Drosophila melanogaster: one gene and its partners. Changing the gene in region 3 together with the main gene of any one other region gives a genetic interaction. Each region holds a gene or a part of one and is shown on either strand. Other genes may lie near its edges. The genes, in order: hemo, Mp, Pi3K68D and Sbf.

Region 1 (3,297 bases), on a different chromosome or scaffold from region 3:
ATCATAAAATGCTGAAAGCAAAAGGCAAACAACAGCAGCTGCAGCCGCAAAGTATGCAACACGTTCGCATACGATAAAAGTGGATTTGTGGTGGAAAATGTGTGGGGTTTTTGGGGACACAGGACGCCAAACGGGCAACATAAAGCAAACAAATATCACTTGTAATGCTAAATGCGGGCCTGGAATTACAAGGCTTTAATATAACAAGCACAGCTTACAGCACTTTATTATAAACTTTTCTTCTGTTAAGTAATAACTGATATAACTTTAATTTACTTTATGTTAAATAAGTGCTTTTCATAGTATTGAATTCAGCTGCCTTGATATCGAGTTCAAATTCAGTCAATATGACTATATTAACATCACTATCTTCATTTAAGCCCTTGTGGATCAAAGTATCTACCGAAGTATCTGTTCCATTTGCACATTTCGGATGCGTTTGAAAATCCGCTTAAATGCCAACCGAATCGAATCGAAACGAAACAAACCAAACCACGTTCGCCTCAAATCGACAAAGGCTTTCCCACTCCTTCTCCATTTGGAGCCACCTTCGACATGGAGTCAAACACCTGCGAAATTGAATGAGAAATATCCATTCTGTGTGCGTTGTGAGTGTTTTTTTTTTTTTTTTTTTTTGGTCAGTGTGTTTGTTACGCTTGCAAACTTACGCCCCAACTGCCTCGATTATTTTCGAACCTCGAACATAGTTGGTAAAAAACAATTTTATTTCACCGAAAGAATTTTAAGCAATACAAAAGGATTTTCAATGCATGAACTGCAACTTATTTTCTTGTTTTGAAAGAATTCCTATTCGGTTCGATGTGTAGGAAATGTTTTTGTGGCACCTTTAAAATATTTTAAGGCTCCCTTTCGAAGTTCCTTAATGAAATTAATTAAGTGCTAACACCACACATTTATTGTTTATTTGCTTAAAACCCACAATATCTCAGCATCTTTAGTGTGAAAAAACCAAAAAAAAACTGGCTCTACTTTTCTGCGGCGAAATTTTAAATTAAAAGCAAACTTTGCTCATCAGTCTGTGGGTGTGTGGAATGCGGCAGATGTCGAGGTGTTGCTGCGATTTGGCATATATCCATCCATTTTTGTGCTGCTTGTTTTTTGGTTCTTACTCCATCATAAAGCATCAAATGTCAGCAGCACTCGCAGTCAACACAGCAAGGCACAATTTCAAAGTTTGAATTGAGCTGCGTCTGGACGCCGCCGACGCGTTCCCCTGGAGTTCTATATGTTTGTCTAGCTAGCAGTTCTATTTGCAATGGTCCCCAGATTCTGGAGAATCCCCGGAGGGCATCGTCATCAGCGGAATGAGACGAAGAAAACAACAATGAGATGGGACCTTGGCGCCCTTGCATGATTCATTCAAGCTTCTGGCTTATCCACCAACTCGAGTGCATGTGGATCACAAACAGGCATAGTACACAAAGTTCACTAAGAAAGTAAAGTGCTTCATAATAAAGTAATAAATAAAATTAAAGCTAGTCAGTTAGTAAAATGAAAGTGAATGAATAATTTAATATTTCAAACCGATAAAATCATTCGGAAATACGAAAAAAATCGGATAAGAACTCAAATCCGCTGCGAGTATTAATAGCGTTTTATCTGCATTTTTGAGGGAGAGAGAATAAAGTTCTGCAGAGAAAAAATTTTGGTTTTTAAATTAAATCATTGTGAAAATTCAAATAATGACCATGATTAATATTTTAGTAATTATTTCAAAAACAATTGATAGAGAAACTATATAAATATTTACCAAGAAATTCAGAATGTAATAATTATTAGCCCAATATAATTTCTCTGTGTGTATTTGGAGAAAATAAATCGCCATTTGAACGCAAATGCCAAACATTTAAGGGTTCCTCGCTATTTAGTTATATTTCCCCATCCGCACATCGAACGTCGCTTGCAACATGGATTGTTTTAAAGTTTTCGAAGTTGTATTTCAATCGGAAATCAATCCCTTACTGCTGATTCCCGCCGTAGCTACAATTGCACTTACGTTGTGTTGCTATTGTTATCACGGCTATCAGTGGATCCGCGATCGTCGAACAGCTCGCATCGAGGAGCAGCAAGCCCAGTTGCCACTGCCACTGAGTCGCATATCCATCACGCCCGGATGCTCAATGGTGGCCACCACGAAGCTAACGCACAGCCGGAATAGCGTTGATATCTATTAAAATCCTAGCTTTGTAGATAAATCATTAAACACTTCAGCGATGCTTTAATCTTCAATCTTTAAACTTAAGATTATGCTCAAGACATAAACGAGTGGCTATCGAAAGTGAGGATTTGAACTAGTTTATTTTTTGGACAGTGCATCACGATGACTGACAGTCAAATTCACTTGTCCTACTTCATCTGCGGACCGGTCTTCATATTGATGGTATTCATGTACTTCTACTACTGGTATCTGAATGTCCGCGAGTGTCGTAGATCGCGGGGGCGTGAAGCCACGCCTACTTTGCCAGACGATATCTCTGTGGAACGACTGCAAGTCTATTGACAAAGTTAAGTTCATGTGAATCACTGCACTGCGAGAAGCGTTTTTTTTAAACCTTTGTAAAAATAATAATAAATGCCAAGCTTTAAAAAAAAATTGTTTAGTTACGGTATCTATTATATAAGATAATGTTTAAACGATTTTCTAATTAAATAATCTATGAAAAATCAGTTAATGATATTTCTGTGTTAAATAAATCTATAACGACATATGATTATCGCAAATATTAATATTTATATTATTAATTCTTTCCCAGAAATAAGATAACGAAAAGTAAATAAAACGTGTATTGAAAACGAAATGAATGTAAAATGCACACTAGTCACTGACATGATGTCGCCTTGTTTACAATCGGTTATGAATGATTCATTCTGTATCTGAATACCAGTGTTTTTATATGTCTCCGCTCGGATCGCAACCATAAAAAAAGAGTTGCCTGTTGTGTAATAAAATGTTTGATGAGTTCACGGCAGGAACGAAGTACCTTTAAGTACAACTTAAGGTGAAAACGTGATGTCTGTGGGTGTGTGTGTGTGTTTTGGATGGGTGTATTTTGAGAGTTGTTGGTTGCTTACGACGGGCCATAAATTTAGCCAAAAACTTGGCTATGCATCTTCGCTGACGTTTCCTTTCACGACCTGCAAAATTTAGAGCTGCACGGCGGTTTTGATGGTCCTCGGTGGCAGGACGAGATGCGCTAATAAATGACATTTTCATTCACATCCCGGCAACGAAGTCGTCACAGGTAATAAGGGAAATTAAATTAAGCGAATTAAGTG
Region 2 (4,567 bases), 4.8 Mb from region 3:
GGCAACAAGTTGTGCGGATACTGGGCATGTTTCTAATTTAAATATTTTGCAAGTGCGCGAATCGAACGAAAATCGCGCACTACCATTCACAAGTGACCTAATTGAGACGTAAGTTCCTCCAGTTATCACATCGGCGATTGTTCACTCACTTTTATGCCTGAGTCACTGCAAAGTGGCAACAAAAAACAAAAAAATATGACGACATCGAGGGGTGTGGGTGTGTGGGGGTCACATGCAAATTTGTAGCCAATTTTAATTAATTTCTACATGTTTGCATTTATTGCTTTTTTAGTGAAAAGTCGTACTTGTTTCGCTGCGACTGACTCATGAAGATTTATATTTGTTTTCGCTACGGAATCTCAAAATGGCACACATTGTTCTAGTTTCATCAACGAAGCCTACTACCATATTTTTAGGCATATTTTTTTCCTCTTGTTTTGCCGAGTTTTTTGTAACTTATACTGCTGACATTACCCCCTTTGCAAATGTTTATGTGTATTACATCAAAGTACATTTGCTTTTCGGCCAGTTGTCGCTGCCGGTTGCTGTTGCCGTGAATTAGAGTCGTCACACAGTGGCAACAAAATCGCAACAAAAGGGGAAACTTTCAACAGTCAAGCCCACGAATGTTAACACAAATGTGCGGCAAAAATGTTTGCTGTCACAACTTTTTTCCCTGCCAAATTCGGGGCATTTGTCATTTAATTAGGACAAGCTAGGTCAGTCCGCATGGAAATGAAAAAAAATCGTACTTGATACCGGTGGGTAAAAATTCAAAAAAAACTAGAATATTCTCAAAGTTCAATGATTGAATATCTTAAAATTTAAATACAACATTTTCCATGCATATCATGCAGTGCGTTACCATTAAGCAATAAGTCTTCAAAAAACCAATTACTTAGGGAGGTCAAATTTTTTCCTGTAACTGATGCAATTTGGATGCACTTCATGCTTCAATATATTTCAAATATTTCACCAGAAAACTCAAACTGTCACAGAAGCCACCCATGGAATAATTATAGATTCGCAGTCATGCGACAGCTCTCACTCAAGATTTATATGCAATAATTACAAGTTTATTTCGACATGATTGCAATATGCAATTATCGCGCTTTAGGTATGTATTTATATATAAAGCTGGGCCCCATAAATCGCGAAATTCGCAGGCGAATAAGTTGACTTATTGACTAGCCCCGTCGACAGCTTCAATTTCCGCTGCTCCATCGCAGACTTCATCGACATAATGCTGTTGAAAGATCATTAATGTGGGAACTCCTAATGCCGACAAAATATTGAAGCTAAAAAAAAAATATAAAGATAGGCAAAGAAAAACTGCAGATGGTATAGGGAAAACTTTAAAAGAAACTTTGCAGCAATAGAAACATTTAAATGTTCTTTTCTTTAGGCATAAATTAGAATGAGTTGTTGGTTTTCTTTAGCATTATAACCCTTTATATTTCCTTTTATGTAAGCAAATCAATAGTTATTTTCAGAAGTGCTGACTTATCCGTAAGTCAGTACCCTTAAACGTGAATATAATGTGCAAACATTTTGTATGATTTTAAATCAAGATTGCAGACATACTGCCAATATTTGAGCCAACAGATGGCCAAATAAATCCGTCAAGGGCAAACCAAAAGCCGAATATTGCTTCTTCTTTTAAACCAATAGACTCTTAGTTATATTTATTAATGAGCTGCGCAAATATGCATAGTTAATTTTCAGTTCATTGCCGTTGTTTTTGCTTTGTTTGTTTGTCGGCTATTTTGTTTGTCGTCATGAATGGGTCGATTATGATATCGGCAGAAATGGAGAAAAACTAAATGTTATTTAATAAGTAAATAAAAGCAAAGCTAATCGTTGGCCGAGATTACCACAAGCGAAAATGCATTTCCCGCACTTGCAATTATCATTACGAATGTCCGACTTCAAGTGGATTTGTTGGGCAATATGGAATTTTTGGACGTACACCCATTTACGTGACCATCAAAGGGTAATCGCTTAAAAATAGTTGGGCGGACTTACCTCAGTCTCCAGCTGAATGGCACTGAATATTTCCACGTATTTCCTGGCGGAAGTGGGCCTTTTTCACTGCTGCATAGTTTCGGGCGACAGTTTCCAGCAGCAGGACACTTTTCACAAAGCCTTCGGACACTTTTCTTTTGAGCCCCGGCTTCCTTTTCTATATATATACTCTCGGTTATTCCGTTCTTGTAATTCACTACACTACACAAAACGGGGGAACAAAACGGGGATTTATAAAGGGGTGTACTTGGGGAAGATCAATGGAAGTGACCAAATGGGCAGACAATGATTGGTCATTCGAGATGGCATTGACATTGGCCAGTCATTGTCCAATCCAATAATGGCACAAAGCAGGAGCCACAAAGGCAGCCCGAAGGATTTCTGAACACAAAACACAAAGTGGACCGATCGGCTGTGGGGGACAACTAAGTTTCGCAATCAAAAGTGCACTGAAAATTTAATTTGTCTTTTTTTCATAAAAAATGAGTGTTCAAGATTCACGGTTTGCTTGTCTGAAATGTTTTAAGAAAGAAATCGAAGCGGTATATATTTTGCGTTCATTAAAAGTTTGCCTCTACATCAAAAGCTTTATCAAAAATAATTGACATTAATATGAAATATAAATTATGTGACTTTTTGTTGATTAAAATTGTTTACGACTCTTAAAATGTATGTTTATTAGCACAATTTGTTCAGTGTGTTTGGTTTTAGTACGCTGAAGTCTACGAGTTTATTTAAAACGCTTTAAAATTGTATTTTTAATGCACTTTTTCTATGAATATTTTTAATATTTTCAAGCTACGTTTTTTTTTTCTTCTTTCATTTAACGCACAATCTCGTTTTATTTCGCAGTGTACCAATCTCAGCCGGCAAATTCGCGAGTTGTATGTTTTTCGTTTCGCAGGGGAGCACGCTTCGTTGTGGCCGGCACTCAATTCGCGTGTGGGTGCCCTGCGATGCGCTCCGTTCAGCGTTCAGACTGAGACTGAGACTGAGGCCTGAAAAGCTGGCAGCCGGCAGAGCAGCTGGCAGCGCAGTCGGCAGCGGGAGAATGCCGAAATCAAAATGCTACCGTTTGCCGTCTATGGTAAATACATTTTGGCAGATACTTTTGTCGCTGATACCTATACAGATACTAATGGAACGCGAAATTCGAAATGCAATTAAAAGCATTGTTTTAAGGCACTCGAAATGGTAGATAACTTTTAAATTTAAATGAATTTAAATCGAGTTTTCGATTTAGTAAACAGCTAGTGCAATTTTGTTTTGCTGAGCCAATATTTGAGGTGCAAACTGAACGAATTTAATTGACTTTCTACGAGTATCCTAAACGTTGTGTACGATGAGCAAAATTGCGGAAATGAAATGAAATTAAATTGAATTAATTATATTTAACAAAAAACCAACGATAGTTGTACTTCCGAAAACAATATTTTCAACAAAAAACTGATAAGCATTATTCTTAGTTTCTTTTCAAAGAAATTTGAATTTCTAGAATTTATGATTCTCACTCGATATAACTGGCGGTATACATGATATCATAAACCGTTTTATGAACAATATTTCCAGTAACGCGAATTTCCTGCAAGCCAAATCAAAGCGGCAATTTTCCGCTGCAAGGTGCAGCGACTGCAGGTGCTTATGGCTTCAGCATTTTCCGACTTCTCCCTGCTGTCGTCTTTGCACCGACCACTTGGCTATAAATAGGGCCAACTGGAGAGACGAACCATACGGGGCAACACTTTCGTTTAACTTTGGCAAGGGAAAGCGGGCAGGACAGCAGCGCAAATTAGTTCCCAAGCGGCTTTGAAAGGTACGTGGGCCATAGGAAAGTGATAAGGCTACAAGTGCGAAGAAGTCGACAAATTTTTGGAGGGGCGGGAAAACATAGTGAACACATGCCCCTGGTCCCACATGTGCTGTGGCAAGTTGGCCGTCTTAATTATTTATACGTAATAAAACTAAGCATAATTTTCCAGCAACAACTACGCACCGGCGCCTCATTTGAAATTCTATAAATAAATTGAAAAGCAGTTGATATAGTTGAATCGCAAAAGGCTCGAAAGGCTCAAAACTCAAAAAAGCCGGAAAAACTGAAAACACATTCATACAAGTTGTTGGGCAAAAAAAAATTGAGAGAGGAAAAGAGCCAGAGAGAAAGAGAGAGAGAGAGAGAGCGCGTGTGTGTGTTGGCAGAGAAAGAGAGCGCCGTCGACGTCGACTGCGACGCGGGCACATGCGGCGTATGCGTAATTTTGTCAGCCTTATCAGAAAGCCATTGCAAGCAAACTTTATTTTAAAGAGCCGGCCATTTATCGAACTTGCAACGTGTTGTCTCCACCCGGCCCTTCCCCTTTTGGATGGGGGTATTCCCCAAACACCCCCCCCCCCTCGACCATTTTCTGCCACAAGAGTCGCGTTGTTTGCACGCCGACTGCCCAAAGCCCGCCAATTGTTTATTCAAGCAGCATCACAGCATCGCAGCATCGCAGCTCATGTTGGCCATGTGCACTTGAACTGCCTTCGCCGGCATGCCTGTGCA
Region 3 (4,618 bases):
CAGAAGGAGGACTATGTGGAGCAGATTTCCAGCCTGCGACAAGATCATGAGGATGAGGTGCGCAAGCTGCGTCAATCCCACGAGCTGGACCTCGAGGGTATTCGTCAGGCTAAAATGGTGGAGTTGTCGGCGGTGCAGGATCATGGAAATTATCTGGACACATTGCGTCTGGCGTCCAGCAATCTTCAAGAACTTCGTGACGGGATGAGTGACAACCAGGAAAGGGAACGGCAGTTGGAGGCGCGAGAACGTCGCCTGGCCGACCAGGAAAGGCGTCTAAAGATGGACGAGGAGACGGCCGACGATGAGAAGCGCCGCCTGATGGAACTGGTGAGCACCTTGGAGCTGCAGCTGGGCCGTTTGTCCAAGGAGTCAGCCGAAGAGAACTGGCAGCTCCGTCAACGAATGTCCAGCTTGGAAGCGGAGCGCAAGGCTTTCGAGCGCGAAAAAGAATTCCATCGCGAGCAAATGCAGCGGGACGAGAAGCGTGTGGAGGATCTTAAAGCACTGCAGCTTGCGGAAATGGAACGACTGCACCACGATCTCCAGGAGGAGCGCAATCAACTGACAGTGGAACGCCAGCAGATTGAACTAAGACAACAGCTCAATGAGCACGGCGACCCAGACAGAGATCGCCGGGAACTGGAGGCCCAACTGCAGGTGGCACGCGAAGCCATTCGGCGGGCGGATGAGGAGCGGGATCGCTACCACAAGCTGCAGCGCGAAATGGAGCAGCGCAAGCGCCATCTTCTGGATAAGGAGCACGCCCTAAATCTCAAGGAGGACGAACTGGGCCAAGCCACCGGCGCCTACCGCCTAGCCACTAGTCGCCAACACTTGGCCGAGCAGAAGGCTAGGGAGGCGGACCAGCTGCTCCAGGCCAAGCTTAAGGTCATGGCCAAGCGGGCCCAGGAAATCGCGGAAAAGGAGGCACAGCTGGCCCACGAACGAATGCTGGTGGCGCAGGATCGTATGGCTTTGGTCAATCTGAAGAAGCAGATTTCTCGCAGCAGGTGTGCAATCTGCAAAATGGGTGCGGAATCGGCGGAAATCGCCCAGCGAAGGGCAAATGTAAATCCCACAGCAGCCACCGATCTTCAACTGCCTCAAGTGACACCCAGTCATGCGGAGCTGCTGCTTAAAATGTCCCAGGAACCGGGACAGGTCCAGAGTGACATTGTGGATCGAATGCTGGACGAAAACATCGAAGCCTCCTACCGCAGGATGTACAATGCGCCCCCCAGTAGTTCAATCGATGATCCCGACTATCTATTGACGTTAGCTGGTGGGCTGGACGACGACTCCAAGGTGGCCATGGATCACGGCCTGAATGTGGACGAAGCATTTATGTAGATATTGTGGAAAAATTTGTGGAAGCACAAATAATAACAACTGAGATAAATAAATGTATTACTTGGCAATTAGTATAAGTTTTATAAACAAACTATGAAGATACAAGATTACATATCGCTCGAAAGTTAAGTATTTTGTTATTCGTTAGAAACTCAATAAATTTGAATTGATGGAGTGAAACCCGGCTACATGATTAGCCAATACTCAAACATCTGTTCGATGTATCTTTCATCGATAGTTGCCAAACAATATCGATTCGTTTACCATCGCTACTGCTTGTTGCATTCCGTTTTGTGTTATTTCGTGCTGTTCGTGTTTAAAGTTCTTGCGCACAAGATAATTGTTTTTTTTTTATTGTAAATTAACTGATTTGTACATAATATGTGATGGTGCAAGAAAATCTAAGAAAATAACGTTTTGTTCAGTATTTTGGTGTTGCGTCTATTCCGTTTTTTGTCACTGTTTTCTGTTCGTGTTTGTGTATGGTCGTTTCGCATGTATGTGTGTAGGTGTTTAGGTGTGTAGGAGGATAAAACAACTCTCCTAAAAACAAAAAAAAAACCTTTGGTTAAGTTTAAATTAATTGTGATTCGTCAAATATAACAACAACCGAGGATAAAAGTGTAAAACTATTAACCGGATGGTCTATGTTCGTAGCCCCGTCAAGGGAAAACCTCAACCAAAAAGAGACTAGCAACGGGTGTAAAAAGCAGCGGAGGTGACACCTCAAAAAGCAAGTAAGTTGGCAATATGCGGATGAGAATCACAAAGCAGAAGTCAAGTCTGCATATTAATGACTATCTCCATTATTATTTTCTTTCGCCCTTCCACCGATATTCGTTTTTTTTAAATTTTATTCTTACGTTCTCCGGAATAAATTGGCATTCAATTGGGTTCATTTATTGTTTATGAATATTGTTTTTAAAAATTTTTTCGCAATCTATTGATTTACCTTAACCTTTGCCGCACGGAACCCTCTCTTTTGCTCTCTCTTCCTCGCTTCCTATTCCTAGCCGGTTCGCATTTTCTTATCTTCCATTCCGTCCCCGTTCGCGACACGGACTCACACACACACTAGTGCTTTTGTGGGTGTGTTTATATTAAACAGCTGTTTCCTATCTGCATACGAGATTGGCTTCAATGGGGAAAAAATCAAAACGCTTACATGCTGACATATATATATACGTTTATATTGCATATATTCGTATATATGTGTAAAATCTGGGAAATCAGTACTCGCAGCATTCATTCACGCAAATTGATGCCGCCGCTTTTGTTTGTTTTTATATATTTATTTACAATCGCGCACTCAATTGCGCCTTTTTGCGCCACTCTGCTGTATCGCAATCGCAAATTTGGAGCGCTTGGATATGGTTTCTATGTGCAAAGTACACAAGTATTTACCACATTTGTATGTACAAACAATAAGATAAAATGTTTTGCTGATGTTTGTACCGAATGTCGAAACTCTGCTAATCATACTTAATATCATGCTTGCATAATGATGTTCGAACTTTTCTATTAGAAGTTGATATTTTTTAAAATATAAAATTAATTCCTGTCCCTGCCCTGGCTATCACAAATCCTTGTAATTACGTTTTAAATGCAGTTGTCATATCCTTTTAACCATTTCGAAGCTTACAAATCTAATAAAGCGATCAATCTGTTCTCCCCTATTTTCTGAATTTCTGAATCATTGGTGCCCGCTAATGACGGCTCATTATCGATCGCGAATATTCCTTTGCAACTTAAAAAAAAAAAACTAGTGATAGGCACCCCCACTCTGTCGCAAGTGGTCTTCCCCCCATCGAATGCTATCTCACCTGTTCTTCGTCCAGGTACTCATATAGTACCATTGCCATTTACACTGCATAATCACTTTTATCACCGCCTGTTCGTTATCGCAGAGATAAGCAATCCCAAAAGCAAACACCTTTGTTCAACAACAAATAGGCATTGGAAGAGAAAATACGAAAATAATTTTAACAAAATTTGGAAATCGCTCACATTTTGTTCTGGTTCCCATTCGCAGCTCAACGGACCGGACGCTTTAGACGAGGGGATAATGTCAAATCAAGCGCATATCGACTACGACAAACAATTCCAGGATGACCTGGCCAAGGCGACCGCCCTGAGTCTAGAGCAGCATGCCCTCGATGACTACAGGCGAAACAAGAAGTACGGCTCCGGGTATCAGCAAAGCTCCACCGTTGCTGGCCGAGATTACCAGGCGGCGCAACGTAGTCAGAGCCTACATCAACCACGACGGCACTCGGAGGTGCATCAGGTGGCCATCAGTCCGGAGAATGCGGAACGATCGCGCACACCGCCGGCCCAGGGAACGGATAACGATCTGATCTGCTTCGCAAGTCCCACCAGCAAGCAGCCAGAGAGTAGCAGTCCCTTTGGCAAACTTATAGAGGATCTGCAGCGGATGCAGCCGACCAATCCGCAGTCGGCCCTGGTGCCAATGGGTCCAGTTGCGTCGGCTTCGATTCCTCCTCAATACGGCTTTCCACCTCATCAGCAACGTCCAACGGCTGCTCAGCCCACACCGTACGGCATGGTTGCAGGTGGAGTTGTTGGTGGACCGGCTTACGGTGACCTGCAGTTGGTGCCTTACCAACCAGCTGCTCAGCAACAGAGGCCACTAAACAGCGAGGAGCTGCAGCGGCTGTACAGCATGCCCGCTCAAATGGCCGTGGTTCCAGTGCCGCAGCCAAACGCCTATATGTACTATCCCGGAGCTGTGGTTACTCCATACACGGCTCCCATTGTTCCCGGATCGGCTGCTTTTATGCCGCCGCAGTATCCCGCACAGGGATATGGCTTTGGAGGTGCTTACACGCACATGGATTTGCGTCGACCCCAATCGCAACCAGCTCCCCAACAAACAGCACCGACAACAAGTCATCATCACAGCCAACCGTCCAACCATTCCACTTCCTCCCCCGCAGAGGCCAATGGAGTAGCCTTCCCAGCGCGTCGCCAAGTGCCCTCGACTGTCGGGGTTAGCTCTAGTAGCCACACTGGAAACAATGGTCATTCCTCGGTCCCACGCAGGGGCAACGATTTGATCGACCTCAACCACGAGGACTAGTATGTATCCACTAGTGTTCAGAAATGATTAGTTCGTGTTTTTAACATTCAAACATCCTGCTTTGCAGCTCCCGTGTGAGTGTGCTGGAGGCATTCGATCCCCTGCTAAACGACAATACTGGTAAGCAGCCTCAATGTTGTAATTAACGTGTAGCTCCCGGTCCTC
Region 4 (4,674 bases), on a different chromosome or scaffold from region 3:
CTCCTCGATGTTGGGACTTTTGCGCAGCTGCTCGGCTGTAATTTCAAGCGCCGTGGGCTCCTCTAGAGGAACTTCGTCCAGCACACAGTTGGCCTCCTTTTGATGCTCGTTCTGACGTCGGTGAAGCAGATACAACGCCTTTATTTGACCTTGGACATCCTGAAAGAAAGTAGACTCCCAAAATTGCAGGTTTTTCCAGATGGCGTGATCCTGTATCTCTGTGTACGCAAATTGCACTACTCCAGTCGAGAGCTTACGGCAGAAGATTGTGGACATGGGCAGCAGAGCCGCAGCCACTGTGTACTCATCAATGCCGGATGATTTTTGCAGCGCCTTGTTCATGAATCGCACAACTAATTCAAACTGTTGATGGTCCAGAACTGCCTTGTTGCCGTGCACATATCCAAAGAACTCGCGGCACAAGATCAAGCGCGCATCCCGATGCATTAGGGTGCGCATCACAGCCGGCAGCAGTTTTCTGGCATCTGTAATTCGATTCTCAAAGATGTATGACACACAGATCCGCAGCACCTCCAGTCGCCTAGCCGAGTTTTGGACATTGGGACGCACATCTAATGCCTCGGGTAACCTGGGTCCCATCGGAATGATACGGTGCTGATTACGTGTTACATGAAAGCGTTGTGGCACTCCGTTCTTTCGTATCCCTTCCTGTATGATAAGCTCAACCTTTTCCGAACTTATGCGCGGAAAGGCTGGTTGATGAATACGCTGGAATGCGCCTTCCGGCGGACGCAGTACTTTTTGGGCATAGCTGATGTGAGCCAGAGTGCCCTCATTTTCATATAGAACTCGTCCCAATTCCTGGATATGTGTGAGTATCTGAAAGTAGGAAGGAAAGGTAAAATTAAAATATCCCTTGAATCTTTGAGTTCTACCTACGAGATTTCGATTCTGCGCCTCCGATTTGAGCAGTTCGTTCATTGAGCTGTAGAGCTCATCCCAGGCATCGGAGGATCGCCAGGGAGGGCCTCGTTCGTTGACAAACGTCGTGAAAAACATGCTGTCCAGCACCCTAAACAGGAATTCGCTCTCTATCAGATCGCGGGCGCCGAGAAATCCTGCCTTATGGAAGGTGATCACCGGCTTTGGGTGGATCCGAATGATAGTCAGGCAGGAGCGATATCCCTGCAGCAGCTGAGCGAAAAGGCGCATGAATATGGCGCGAAGTTCCTTATCAATCTGGGCGTCAGTCTTAGCAATAGCTGAAGGCCGCTCTAATGTGGGAAACGCCAGATCGGCCTGCGCCAGGTTTGGAAACAGGATCATGCTGAGCAGGTCCTGGGTCTGTTCCCACAGCGGTGATGGAAGAATAGGAACAGGCGGCGTCAGCGACTCGGGAATGGTAACGAGGCCGCCATCCAAATCCACCACAATAACATCCAGTAAATCCGTAATCTCAGTTTGCAGTGAGCTATGTATGCCCATAATAAATGGCGTAGGTGTGGATAACACTTCCGTGAGTGGAGCCGGCAGAATTGGTATATAAACATGAGTATACCGAAAGGGATACATCAATGCCACCAAAGCTCTGCAGCTGTCCGTCAGGTGCCAATAACACTTAGAAAGAAACAGTATCTTGTTCTCTGTCATCACGGAGCAAAGCAGTATCAGCACATTCTTGATGCCCAGCTGCTTGAAGAGGAAGTGGACTCCACTTCCAGTCGTGGGCAGGGAGGAGCTCTGCGGAGGCTGGAGCGACTGCTTGTCTCCTGCTCCTATAGAGAAGCGCACCTGCGGTCCACCCGCTGGAGGAACTTGGATGCAGCCCAGAATGTTTCCTATGAGTGTCTCCAATCCATACGCCAGGTTCTCAATGTACACCGTGTATATGGTGCCGAGACAATTCTGTAAATTAAGATAATGGCTTAATTTAGTATCTTAGGTGGTCTGACTTTTAAACTCACTTTAAAGGTCTCGGCACAGTCCAAACGCGATATAAGCACCAGACACTTTGGTGCATACATGACGCTGTGGTGCGTAATGGAAGCCGGCGTGGATGTCGTTGTGATGCCATCCATCGATGAGGGTGTGGCTCCCAGCAGCCTGCTGCTGCCGATGGTCTCATCCTCGTCGTCGACGCTGCGCGTCTGTGTGATGGCCACCGTCTCATGAAAGCTGAGGCAGGCGCAGTAGTGCTTGTTGGCATCGATGTCCGTCAGCACAGAGACGAAGAACTTGGGCTCCTGCTTCTCGTACGATAAACTCCAGCCGAGCGGCTGGCAGAACTGTCGGAATGATAAGTTAAAATTCAGATATGCTTCGAATTAAGTGAGGAATGTTTCAAGCGCACCCACCCATTCAATGCCCTCGATAAACGGAGTGTCCGGCCAATCTTTCTCGGGAAAGCGCTGAACGATCTTGCCGCACGTCGGCTGGCCGCCCACATTGCTGGCAGTTTCTGGGAAAAGGGAAATTGTTGAATGTCAGAGAATTGCTAATTATGGCTGATGGGCATGTGGATGTACTCACTCTCCTTATCACTGTCGTAGCCGACTATTACGAAGTAATCAGCGAGCCGGGACATCTTGCCCACCACATAGCCGGCCAGTCGTCTAGGATCCTACGGCTCTTTACTAGCCAAATCTAGGAGAACAAAGAGTTGAAGATGTTTTATTTTGATTTTTTTTTTGTTTTTGTTCTGTTGCGTTCTTGTAGCAGGGGACAGCGGCAGATGGATTCTATTCGCCAGTGCCGTCATCCAATTTGATATGCTAATTAGGCTCCGTCTCTGCGCTCGGCATAAATGATTAGCTCCACGGAGATCGAGGGGCCGAATTGTTATTGTATTGTCTATAGCGCCCGGAGGCGTTTTTCAGGCTTTACGAGTCTTGGTCTTCACTCTTTTTTCTTTAACCACACCCCGCCACGCAAAGTGGGATCGTTCGCCGGGAATCGGACTGGCCAATCTATATATATATATCCGCGCACACACCTCGCAGCCGGCTGCAGCCGAAATCCCCGCTAACTGCCAGCAAATCTCAAAGAATTCGGGGCTATAATAATTATTTTTAAGTTCGCATAGAAAAAGATAGATGCAATACACAATAATTTTCACGAATTATCCAACACTTTCTGCATCAGCTGATTGAATGTGTCGATATTTGATTGGCGCTTTGAATGTATCGATAGTTTCGGACTGCGCTACAAATTAATCGGCGCGAACTTAAAAGATCAATTGGAAAATGGCAAAATTAATTTCCACTTAGCCTTAAATATTCATTAAACAATTTTGGGGAAATTATAATATAATTAATCTGTTGGAAAAATAGGAAACTTGTATACTACATTAATACTCCCCAGTATATAAATAAAAATCAAACGCAGCCTTCGTTGGTGACTTGATTTTCTTTTCAACTTAAATATAAATCACGATATTTTTCACATTATGAACTAACGAGATATAAATACATAATAACATTGATGACTAACTCGTGTAAGACGTAACTTAAGATAGATGTGTTTAGCTGATCTTTACAAACATATTACGTATACGTATCGTATTAACTATTATGATGGCCGATCATCTTGTTTCAAGCATGATTTCCGTTTTCTGTGTTACTTTTGTCCGCCGATGGACTTTGCTTAGATTCCTGTGGCGGCATGGTGAGCGATACAGTGCCCTTATCCGTGTGCTTTATGTGCTCCATTTCAATGTCCGAACAGTTCTCGGAATTGGATAGTGCCGAGTCCATGGAGGTGACGGTCATGTCCACGGCCTTATCACTAGAGTTCGTCGACAGCAGAGGTTTCTCCACCGCCGGCTTCTCATCCGCATCCTCATCCCGTGTGGGGGGCACGAAACTATTGCTATTAATGTCCTCGATGGCTTTTCGCAACTGTTTAATAAAACATGTGTTATTGTTATAATCATCAAGGATATCAAACAAGACTTACTTCTTTGAGTCCCACGACACCAACAAGTCTTCCGATTTTGGTGACATAGGCGTGGTTAATACCCACCATGGAAAACAACGAGTGAACCTTGAGTATGGAGGTGCGTTCCACCAGCTGAAATGGCGAGGGATCGATGTGGACATTGGCCTTCTGCAAATCGATGGGCTTCAACATTTCCTCGAGCTCCCATTGCTTCTGATCCTCCGGTGACATGTCAATAACACGTTCCCTGGGCTGTAAATCAATCAAATCGGTAGATATTATATCTTGATTGAAATAAGGGGTTATGTAATTAAAATATTCTAAACGTACCAATCGCACCGACTTCGGCTTTTGAATGCTCTTATTTGGGATTTACAAGATAGGAGAGAAAATGTGTATGTTAACTTTGAGAGTTAATGATTCATAATGCGTTGTAAGCTCGTTGACAATAGATATTAATCAAAAGTTTGCATCAGTTTTACATACCTCAGCCAGCGATTCTGGATTTGTTGTTTCATCCACATCCTCTATAGAGTAACCCAATACATTTTCTGGTTTTATTTTACATTTCGTTCGAGTGGGCGAACCATTTACTCCAACTTCGTTAGCAAACCTTATTTTCGAGCACCTCTTGGCCGTCTGAGGAGATCTATTTACATCTGCCACTTTATTTGCTTTGAATTTAATGCTCGGTGATTGCTTTGAACTATCTCCATTATTTGATAATGCTTTATCCGTGAAATCTTTCTCGGCAGGCTTTTTAAACATTAATCTTGA

What was found.
Region 1: of Pi3K68D (region 3) and hemo, changing one suppresses a phenotype caused by changing the other (phenotypic suppression), as found in Drosophila melanogaster (one study listed by BioGRID).
Region 2: of Pi3K68D (region 3) and Mp, changing one enhances a phenotype caused by changing the other (phenotypic enhancement), as found in Drosophila melanogaster (one study listed by BioGRID).
Region 4: of Pi3K68D (region 3) and Sbf, changing one suppresses a phenotype caused by changing the other (phenotypic suppression), as found in Drosophila melanogaster (one study listed by BioGRID).

The regions. Positions count from the first base shown.
Region 1 is NT_033777.3:18,563,764-18,567,060, reverse strand, and holds hemo (hemotin), read left to right. Parts: upstream 1-1,887; 5' UTR 1,888-1,928; coding exon 1,929-2,195; 3' UTR 2,196-2,341; coding exon of another isoform or gene 2,342-2,521; 3' UTR 2,522-2,797; downstream 2,798-3,297. Other genes in the region: CG43210 (uncharacterized protein), read left to right, coding at 2,342-2,521. UniProt on the Drosophila melanogaster protein: Negatively regulates early endosome maturation by binding to and repressing the activity of 14-3-3zeta which prevents the 14-3-3zeta-mediated activation of phosphoinositide 3-kinase Pi3K68D.
Region 2 is NT_037436.4:6,997,294-7,001,860, reverse strand, and holds the start of Mp (multiplexin), read right to left. Parts: upstream 3,019-4,567; 5' UTR 2,883-3,018; exon of another isoform or gene 2,858-2,882; intron 2,227-2,857; exon of another isoform or gene 2,222-2,226; 5' UTR 2,026-2,221; intron 1-2,025.
Region 3 is NT_037436.4:11,787,013-11,791,630, reverse strand, and holds the start of Pi3K68D (phosphatidylinositol 3-kinase 68D), read left to right. Parts: upstream 1-1,617; 5' UTR 1,618-1,709; exon of another isoform or gene 1,710-2,010; 5' UTR 2,011-2,090; intron 2,091-3,385; 5' UTR 3,386-3,418; coding exon 3,419-4,452; intron 4,453-4,520; coding exon 4,521-4,573; intron 4,574-4,618. Other genes in the region: twy (twitchy), read left to right, coding at 1-1,353.
Region 4 is NT_033777.3:11,793,891-11,798,564, forward strand, and holds the start of Sbf (SET domain binding factor), read right to left. Parts: upstream 3,059-4,674; 5' UTR 2,954-3,058; intron 2,605-2,953; 5' UTR 2,546-2,604; coding exon 2,491-2,545; intron 2,420-2,490; coding exon 2,316-2,419; intron 2,247-2,315; coding exon 1,926-2,246; intron 1,867-1,925; coding exon 1-1,866. Other genes in the region: ClC-a (chloride channel-a), read right to left, coding at 3,552-3,857, 3,916-4,149, 4,228-4,257, 4,384-4,653.